Linked DNA regions of Rattus norvegicus. The protein of the gene in region 2 interacts with the protein of the main gene of each other region in a pairwise test. Links are inferred from orthologs where the notes say so. Each region holds a gene or a part of one and is shown on either strand. Other genes may lie near its edges. The genes, in order: Wtap and Wt1.

The links.
Region 1: the proteins of Wt1 (region 2) and Wtap interact in binary tests that used the Homo sapiens proteins (3 or more experiments, as listed by UniProt). The link is inferred for Rattus norvegicus from reciprocal best matches to the Homo sapiens genes WT1 and WTAP.

Annotation. Positions count from the first base shown.
Region 1 is NC_086019.1:50,069,426-50,073,894, forward strand, and holds the start of Wtap (pre-mRNA-splicing regulator WTAP), read left to right. Parts: upstream 1-1,547; 5' UTR 1,548-1,732; intron 1,733-1,832; exon of another isoform or gene 1,833-1,966; intron 1,967-2,008; exon of another isoform or gene 2,009-2,315; intron 2,316-4,469. UniProt on the Homo sapiens protein: Associated component of the WMM complex, a complex that mediates N6-methyladenosine (m6A) methylation of RNAs, a modification that plays a role in the efficiency of mRNA splicing and RNA processing.
Region 2 is NC_086021.1:112,020,489-112,025,090, reverse strand, and holds the start of Wt1 (Wilms tumor protein homolog), read right to left. Parts: upstream 3,083-4,602; 5' UTR 3,068-3,082; coding exon 2,629-3,067; intron 2,621-2,628; exon of another isoform or gene 1-2,620. UniProt on the Homo sapiens protein: Transcription factor that plays an important role in cellular development and cell survival. Recognizes and binds to the DNA sequence 5'-GCG(T/G)GGGCG-3'. Regulates the expression of numerous target genes, including EPO.

The DNA.
Region 1 (4,469 bases), on a different chromosome or scaffold from region 2:
CTACCACTGAGCCAAATCCCCAACCCCCGATATTTCAATTTTAAATAGTGCTTCTGAACTTCTTTGGTTTTTGTATTTGTATCTCATTTGTTTATTATATATAAGTACACTGGGGCTGTCTTCAGACACACCAGAAGAGGGCATCAGAGCCCATTACAGATGGCTGTGAGCCACCATGTGGTTGCTGGGAATTGAACTCAGGACCTCTGGAAGAGCATCCAGTGCTCTTAACGCTGAGCCATCTCTCCAGCCCTGTATCTTATTTTCTTTTACACTAGAAATCTTTGGAGAAAGTAACATTGAAATGTTTGTACTACAATAAACATAACTTCAAAACCACAGCAACAATGTTATAATTACAAATCACTTAGTGAAACTGAGTGATTCTTAGGTATCCACAGGCACAGTGCCAGAGTGTGAAACTCAAAACACTGTAGCTATATATATTCTTTGTCTATGTCTCAGTTCCACTGCCAAACTGCTTAAGAGTCAATTGGTTCGTTTCAATTTACTTGACTTTGAAGGGTTTTTACCTTTTGTCTTCATAAATTTTGAACTCAGAGAAGCCTTGCTTCTACCTTTATCTCCTATAGCCATTACCACTTTTTGAGTAAGTATTAAGTTTCTGCAATATCCTTCTGTCTTCCCAGTATGTGCCTACATATATGTGTATATGTATTTCTACACATTGCTTTATTCACTCAGCCCAGTAGTAATTCCAAAGTAACACATTAACTATTAATGACTGCATCCCTACCAGGATACAGGATTTCAATGTGTATTTCCATTATAAACAAAGTTGATCCTCCTCCTACGATATATTTAAGGACATCTTCTCTGTGAATCATCTGTTCATGTCTTTTCCCATTTTCTTTAGTTTTCCAAGACCTTTTTTTCTCTTAGCCTAAGTGGAACACCATGGCTCCTCTGGTCATCTGGTCTCTACTGTAATTGTGTACTTATAAGTGATCTCAGCCAGGACACCTTCGCTGGGGATTAACTGCTCTCATAAAACCGACTAAACCTAAATATGACTGTCCCATCTGGGAAGTGCTGAAGAGACTGCAGACTAACGCCGTTCTTGCTGTAATCCAGGCGACTGTCTTACTGGAGTGATTTCTCGGACTCCAGAATCCTCACTCTGCTGCCTTCTCCGGGATTCTGGTGTGCGATCTGCCCTGGAACGTCCCACAGGCGCAGCTTCCTTGCACCTCAACTTAAGCCCAGAGACGCCACAAGGAGCAAAGCCGGCGGCCGCAGGGAAAGCGGCGGCTTCTAAGGCCCCCAAACTTAGGACGAGGGGCGCTTAGGCGTGAAGCTGCTGTCTCCGCGTTCCGGCAGCGCGAGCGGAAGCATCCTGTGCTATGCGGCCTGCAGCGAAGAGCCAATCACGCGCTCGTCGGCTCGGATTCCTCCGCCCAGGCCGTGCTGCAGCCGCAGGTGGCCCCGCCGAGCGTGTCCGGCAGCGGCCGCCGTCCCGTGATGCCTCGCGGGTGACCTCTGACCTCGCGGGCCCGCCCTTCTCTCCGGCCGCTTCCCTCCCCATCCCGGCTAAGCTTGCAGAGCCCCCACGGGGCAGGTGCGAACCTCCGCGGACGGTCTCGGTGCGGCTGCGGAGAGCCGCTTGCCCCTCCGCGCCCCGAGACCCCGAGCGGGCCGGCCTCGCCTCGTCTCTTCTGGCCGGAGGCACCGGGCACGGTGACCGAGGCGGCGCCCGAGAGGCGCGTCTCGGGTGAGTGGGCCACGGGCGGGGTATCGGCGGCGCACTCGGGGCGGGGCGCACTCGAGGCGGGGCGGGGCCGACGGCGGGGCCTGGTTTCCTCCCTCAGCGCCATTTTGTGGCTGCGAGACCCGCAAATAAAGGCTATCTCCGGGGCTGCGGCGGGAGGAGTGCGGGGGGGGGCCGGCGGCGGCGCGGCCTCGGCCTGTGTGACTGGCGGCGCCCGCGCAGCCTCGGGCTGGGAAGGTAGGTGCGGCCCGCGGCGGGAATGGCCACGAGGGCCTGCAGGGACGGGAAGCGAGGCGCGGCCGCCCTGGACCCGGCGAAACGCACTCCAGGCCCGAAGGGCGACCGGGCTTGCGGCCGCGCTGGCTTCCCGTTAGTCAGAGCGGTTTGCTGCTCGTGGGGATACTTGCACCGTTTCACAGCCATTCTGCTCCCGTTCCTGACGGCAGGGGACAAGGCGGGCGTTCCCGCGACTGGGGAGGCGGGGAGGCCGGAGGCCGCCCTCTCGGGGCTGACTGGCCATGCCTGTCCTTTCCCCGCCTCTGTCGCCCCCTCCCACCTTCCAGGGTTCGTCACCCGGGACCTAGAGGTACCGATAGTTCTGTATGACCCAAGTGATGCATTCGGTTCTTTAAAAAAAAAAAAAAAGGAATTTCACGTCACGCAGTAGCTTGTCATTGCAGCCACGTTCTCATGTGGACTTCCATTTTTACATAAGTATGCATTGTGAGAGTAGTTAATTTTTTTGACAGCTTCCTGAAATTTTTCGTGAACTTTTAGTCTAGTTTTGGATCTCTGTAAGGCTGATTTGACTATATTTAAACTTGATTTTCATAAGACAGTGCACAGTGAGAAAAGACCTAAGTTTTTCTGTTTGTGTACATATTTTCTTATTGGGGAGGGCGGGGGCGGCTAGGGATGGAACGCTAGGCCTTGTGCATGCATGTTATTAGGCCAGCATTCTGCCATTCATCTAATCCCCGAGCCCACAGTTCTTGGTTTGATAATGAGGAAGTCAGTTAATTTGACCCCAAAGGACTAAGACACTGCACACTGGTTGTAAGGATCGGTGAGCATGTTATAGTCGTAAATTGTATTTATGCCTTTTTTGTCGTTCTCACTATAGCCTCGCTTTTTTCATTTAGTTAATTTTATTATTTGGAAAGATAAGTGGAAGTCACAAATCAGTTACTACAAATTCTATTTGTTTTTCACTTTAACTTATTTATTTGAGCATCGGAGCTGGAGAGTTGGCCCAGGAGTTAAGAGTACTTTTTGCTCGTCCAGCACCCAATTGATGGCTCGTGGCCATCCTTAACTCATGTTCCTGGGAATTTTGACTTCCCTCTTCTGACCTCTGTGGGTGGCACCAGGCATGCACGTGATGCACATACATACATGCAAAACATTTACAAAAAATTTTTAAAAGTACTTAATTTTAAAACCATGCACCAGGTTTTCTCATAGGTAAATATGTAGGCATCTGAAACTATTAAAAACAGACATTTTTTGAGGTGGCTAGGTTTCATTCATTCAGCAACTATTGCTCAGGCAAGTTGGGGAAAGTTGCAGTCTACAGGATGGCTTCTGATGTGTTGGAACTGAATTTTAAGGATTTGGGCAGATGTGTTTCTGAGGGTGCTTTAGTTCTTCATTCTTAAACAGATGAGTGTGTTTGAACACTACTTAAATTATGGTTTGTAATAGCCATTTGATGTATTTGGACAGAGCATTACCATTTTCAAGGTCCCTCCTGTCTTTTTGTGTATATAATGTAGACTCTTGAAAATATTGTTAGCCGCCTAGATAATTGGTGTAAGGTGTAGTTAAATTTATCATGCTCTTTAGAAGTTTTACTTGATATGCATTCTTGTTTTTATCTCCCACTTTCTTCCTCTAAATACTTCCTATTTCTTTTCATTAAGCTTGGGAAGTTTTTTTTTTTCCAGTATTCCCATCATTGAATAAGCTATTGGTGTTAGGTGTTAGGCATTTCCATCAGACAAGATTCAGTGTTCTTTGCTTTAAAGATGAAGTTGGTAGAGTTTATTTCCTGTGTTGATTGTGTTCAGGCAGTCCTTGTTTGTATAGTGTTTTTATGGTACCAATAACAGACCTGCAGTACTTTGTGCCCTAAGCAACACTGATGTGGAAACTGAAGCCCAAAGAATTAAGTGACTTGATCACATAAACAGGAGACTGAAATAGTGTTCTGATTTCTAACAAGTCCCCTTACTCCTGCAGTGCTGAGGCTCCAGCACTGCCAGACGATGCCATTTCTTAACATCCACTGTGATTTATTTCAGCGAGCCATATACATGCCTTCTTGCATAACTTACCTTGGCGTGTGGTTGCCTTTCTCCAGAGAGTACTAAGTTGCCTAACTTAGGATCATAGTGTTATGATCTGGGATGGTAGGCACTTAGTCAACTAAAGCAGTTCCACAGCCTAAGCTAGGCTTTAAGAGTGGATGGCATTCTAAACTGAGATGAATTCTCTGAACTGTCTACACAAATAAGTTTAAAGTTATAGGTGTTTTGTCGTACGTCTGGAGTTAGAATTGTTATGAGCTACAGTGTGGCTGCTGGTAATCGAATCCAGGTCCTCTGAAGGAGCAGTCAGTATTAACTTCTGAGCCATCTCTCCAGCTGCTCCTTCCCCCTTTGTGTAATTTAAAAGCCCGTCATCTTTTAACCTGTTGGAAGTTTGCCAAATTATTCGTGTTTGAGGTTTTCTGTTTTGC
Region 2 (4,602 bases):
AACAAGAGAAAAAAAAATGTCATACCTCTGCCACGAACTAAGAGGACTCTTAAAACCCTAATCTCTGAGTGACTGGATTTAGGCTCCCAGTGTTAAGAGGCTCCTTAGATCTCAGTGCTTCTTGTGAAGATTCCTATAGCCACTAGCTGTCTTAATCGGTAATCTACAACCCCACTGACCCCACCGAGTAAGATTTGCTTTTTGCTAAATTAATCTTTACAAGATTATGATGTCAGCTATATAAGAAATGGCTGTGTGTGTGAATGTCCTTAAGAAACGGAGGAAGGAAGGAAGGAAAGTGTCACAGTTGCTCTCCCAGGCTTGCCAACAGGTAACCAGAGATAGCTTGAATTCCTCTGACAGCCGAGTCTGGAGCAAGCTGGTGGCCATGTTCACACTTTCCAGGGACAGAAGACAACTTCTCCTAAGCAAAAGCTCCAAACTATATCCTACATTGCTGAAAGGATCCATAGGAACTCCTAAAATAAAGGAATGAATATTCAAAGAACTTCGGGTCTTGAGGGTCCCTCCTAGTTGCCTTGGGGGATGGGGTGGGTAAGCAGCTCCATGCTCACCACTTCAGATCCCAGGAGGCAAGGGAACCCACAGGGGCCACCTGCATGACCCACTCCTTTTAACTAGGAAAGAAAAAGCCAAGTTTCCTGACGGGAACCTGCTTCCAGGGTATGTCCCTGCACGGAAGACATCTCCCCATTGGCCTTCTCTTGGTTTGAGAAGAGCTGGTGTGGTGGGAAGCTTTCGCCAGTTCTCATTTTCCAAGCTTTCTCGCTTCTGTAGTAGCCTGACCTGTCTACTCCAGAAGAATCTGGATGCCCACCCCTAACACCTCAAGTGCACTGGCAATGCCCTCCCGATTTAAATTCTCAGCCCCACCCACCTTCAACAATGGGTTTCTTCTACTAGACGCGCAGCACAGAGTGCTAAGCCTCACAGGGAGCCTAGAAAGTCTCAAAAAGATAGTGGTCCATTAGAATTTGCTGGCCAGGGGGGTTATAGGTCTGTGAGAGCCTCTCCAAATAACAGGCATGCTCACTCTCGACATACACATGCTTGACAGTGGCTCCTTTTCTGATCCAGGGAGGTGTGGTCGGATTGTATGTTCTGTATTTACACTCTGGTCAGATTTCCTCCTGTTTGGCCTATAACTTCTGGCCTAACCCAAACTCCTGGCTGTCCATCTCAGTTCTCCTCTTGGAGGCGAGCAAAGTGACCTGGAGGTTTGCCAAAGGTAACACCTACCTACTAGAAAGTGATGGCAAGATCCAAGAGCTTCTGCGAAGGCACCAAGTTCTTCCCCCAACATCTCTAGTTCAAAACTCTAGTTTCATTTACCAAAGACCTAAAATGGACCCCCAGTCCGCTCCAATTTTCTCCTCAAGTCCCTGTTCTTCAGTGGTTTCGGTTTCACTAGGGCTTCGGGTGGTCGAGCGGCTCCAGGCTGGGTTCAAAAGGCCCTGGAGAGACCTTGGGCACCTTCTGCATCTTCCCCTAAGGGTGCGGGCTCTCCTTCCCCCTTTCCCACACATTTCAAAAACACCCAGATCAAGGACATCAGAATTTTTGGCCCAAGAAAAGCATGTGTCAGAAAAGGTTTTCCTAAAACATCCACTCAAACGAAATTCGATTCTCAACAGCAAAGAAATCAAATGAGAACAAACGAAGAAAGCGACAGCGGCTTAGGAACCATGGTTCCACCAGGGTGCTAACGAAAGAGAGGTGTAGGGGCTCCTGTGAGAATTAAAAATTAGACTCGTATATTAACTGAAGATCCGCCAATACACTTGTTCTTGTTTCTACATCCAAAGCCTTATGAAATCATTCCCCAGCCTAACTTCGGTGTACGTGACTAGGAAACACCCAAGGAGCAGTGAAAGGAAGAAGGCCACCTTTTCACAGTCTCGCACCAGAGATTTGATTCCATATGGGTTGGAGACCGACCGGCCAGGATGGTTTTCCCATCCCCGCGGCCTCCGAACTACCGAACTCCAGTTCGATCCAGGAGATCAACAGTGCTACCTCTTCCGCAAGGTACACGCGAATACAGACTAGGTTCCCCAAAGTTTTAATCCTTCATTCCAAAGCTCTCTGCTGCTCATGGTGGGCCTGGAATGAGCCAGAGCCTATGGAGAACTGGAAGATCTTCAGGTCAGCTCTTCGGGCTTGTCACAGGGCGTTTCTAAACGCCAGTCCCACTCGGAATGCTCTACTTAGTCCGTCTACACTAGTCGTCTTAAAAGCCAACGCCTGGTGAGGCCTTATGCACCAGATTCCCCCCACTCCCGTGTGGAGTCACGCGCTACAATCAATCCACTCTTCCTCCTCCGGTGGAGTCCCGAAACCTCTAAGACACCCAGGGGTCCCAGATGTCCTCCCGGGTCCTGCGAACTATCTGGGGTCGTGCTCAGCAGTGTGTAAGTGGTGGTGATGGTGCGGTGTCGCTAGCATTTGACAGAGCCCACTCCCCTCTGCCCGCTACTTTCAGACTCCGTTGGAAGGCAGCTGGATAGGAACTGGCATCAAGAAGGAAGAGAGGAGGGGAGGAGCGGCTTGGGGCCAAGTCGCGGAGCTACTACCGCGCGTGGAGGTCGTGCTGCGCGGAATCCTTACCTTGGTTGCGGATGGAGGGCTGGCTCTCCAGGCAGCTGGGCAGGTAGGGCGCATTGGGGAACATCCTGGCCTGGCCGGATGACGCCTGGCTGGGCGGGGGAGGACCGAAGGGTCCGTAGCGACAGGCCCCGGCTGTACCGGTGAACTGGCCGGAGAAGTGCAAGGTGAAGGCGCTCAGGCACTGCTCCTCGTGCGGCTCGGCGCCGCCCCAGCTGGGCTCCTGTTTGATGAAGGAGTGGGGTGGCGGCGGAGGTGGCGGCGGAGCGGGAGGAGGCGCGGGACCGCCCAGTGACCCGTAAGCCGAGGCGCCCGGAGGCGCGAAGTCCAGCACCGGCGCCCATTGCGCCGCGCCGCTCACAGGGAGCCCACAGCCGCCTCCACCGCCCAGCGAGGACACGGCGGGCAGCAGCGCGTTCAGGTCCCGCACGTCGGAACCCATGGGGTGCGGTTCGGATGCGGACGGCTCTCCGCTCCTGCGATCCTGCGGACTCTCGACGCTAGACTTGGCCCAGGTGCTGCGCGGGCCTGGGTCCCCAGGCTGCTCCGGCTGCTGAACACACCCGGGCTCCCGGCGGAGCGTGTGCTGAGACGCCGGCTCCGGGACACACGTGGAAGCCGGCTCCTGCGACAGGAGGAAGTCCAGGATCGCGGCGAGGAGGCGGCGGGCCCGGATTCCTGGGCTGCCGTCCTCTCTCAGGGTGGGTGGGTGAATGACTAGGTGGGAGGGAGGGCGGGAAAGGGAAAGGGGGAGCGGGCAGGCGGTCGGGTTGCGGGAGAGCCCCGGGTGTGGGCGCTGCCTTGAACTCCTTACCCCAGCTGCCTGGCTGCCCCCAGCTTCCCAAAGCTCAAATAAGAGGGGCAGGCAGCAGGGAAGGAGGAGGAGCCAGGATGCTCGGCCGCTCCATTCACACAGCAGCCTTAGCTCAGCAAAGCGCGCTGCTCGTCCGGGTTACTCGCCTCTGGGGTGTGGGGCGGGCCCGAGGGAGCGTTCTTCTCGGAGACACCCTCCTCTTTGGCCCGCCACGTGCTCTCAGCTGGCCTGTATGGCAAGCCTCCCCCTGCTTCCCCTGCTAGCCTTGAGTGTAGGCGCCTTGAGGCAAGGCCCTCTAGGTAAGTAGTGAGTCCCCTCGGCGTCGGACGGCGGTGAGAGAAGAGTCCGGGTTGTTAATCAGAGAGGGTGGGGTGGAGGGAGGAGCAGGTGGGCTCCAAGAGGGCGGGAACCAGAGAGCCCAGAGAACTCTCCTAGGTTCTGAGGCAGATAGCCTAACTTTGAGGCTTATCTCCCCCTATGTTCCGAACTCTAGAGCCTAACCGTGGGGTCACTTTCGGAGGTTGGTCCCTCCGGGTTCATAGGTTGAGATTCAAGGTGAAATTGTTCGGGACCGGTAATTATGAAGTCTGACGTCAGTTGTGACAAACGGGACCGTTTGGGTTATCTGGAGGTTGGTTCTTTGGTATGGTTGGAACCCAGAGGGTGGTTGCTGCCTACAGTATAGACAACACTTACTGGCCTTTTTTGGCAAGGAATATTTAAACCCTATGTTAACTTGGGAAAATTGCAGCTGTTTTGGGGAGTACCCTGGGAGGGGGGCGCCTAGCAGAAATGTCCAGAACCAACTTTGGCGCCTTGTTGAGAAGAAACGGGAACGGAGAAGCAAAGCTGCTTCACCAAGCACGGCTTCCTCTAGTGATGAGGGAATGAGAATGGACCTGCGGTGATTGATCAGGAGATGCAAACCAGTTAGGCTAACCTAGAAGTGCGCCGAGAAGATGCTCCATTGCCTTTGGCTAGAGGCTTGTTCTCGCTGCTAGCCCAAGGAGTTCCCAGAGAGTGGCTTCTCAAAACCAGTTCCTCCCTCCACCTTGTAGCTGTTTGAGAATCCCTCGTCTTAGAACAGGTGTTTGGGGATTGGTTTGTGTTGGTTTGGGTTTCCTAAAGCAGTGGAATCCAGGGAGAAAAGAACCAGTAGGCAA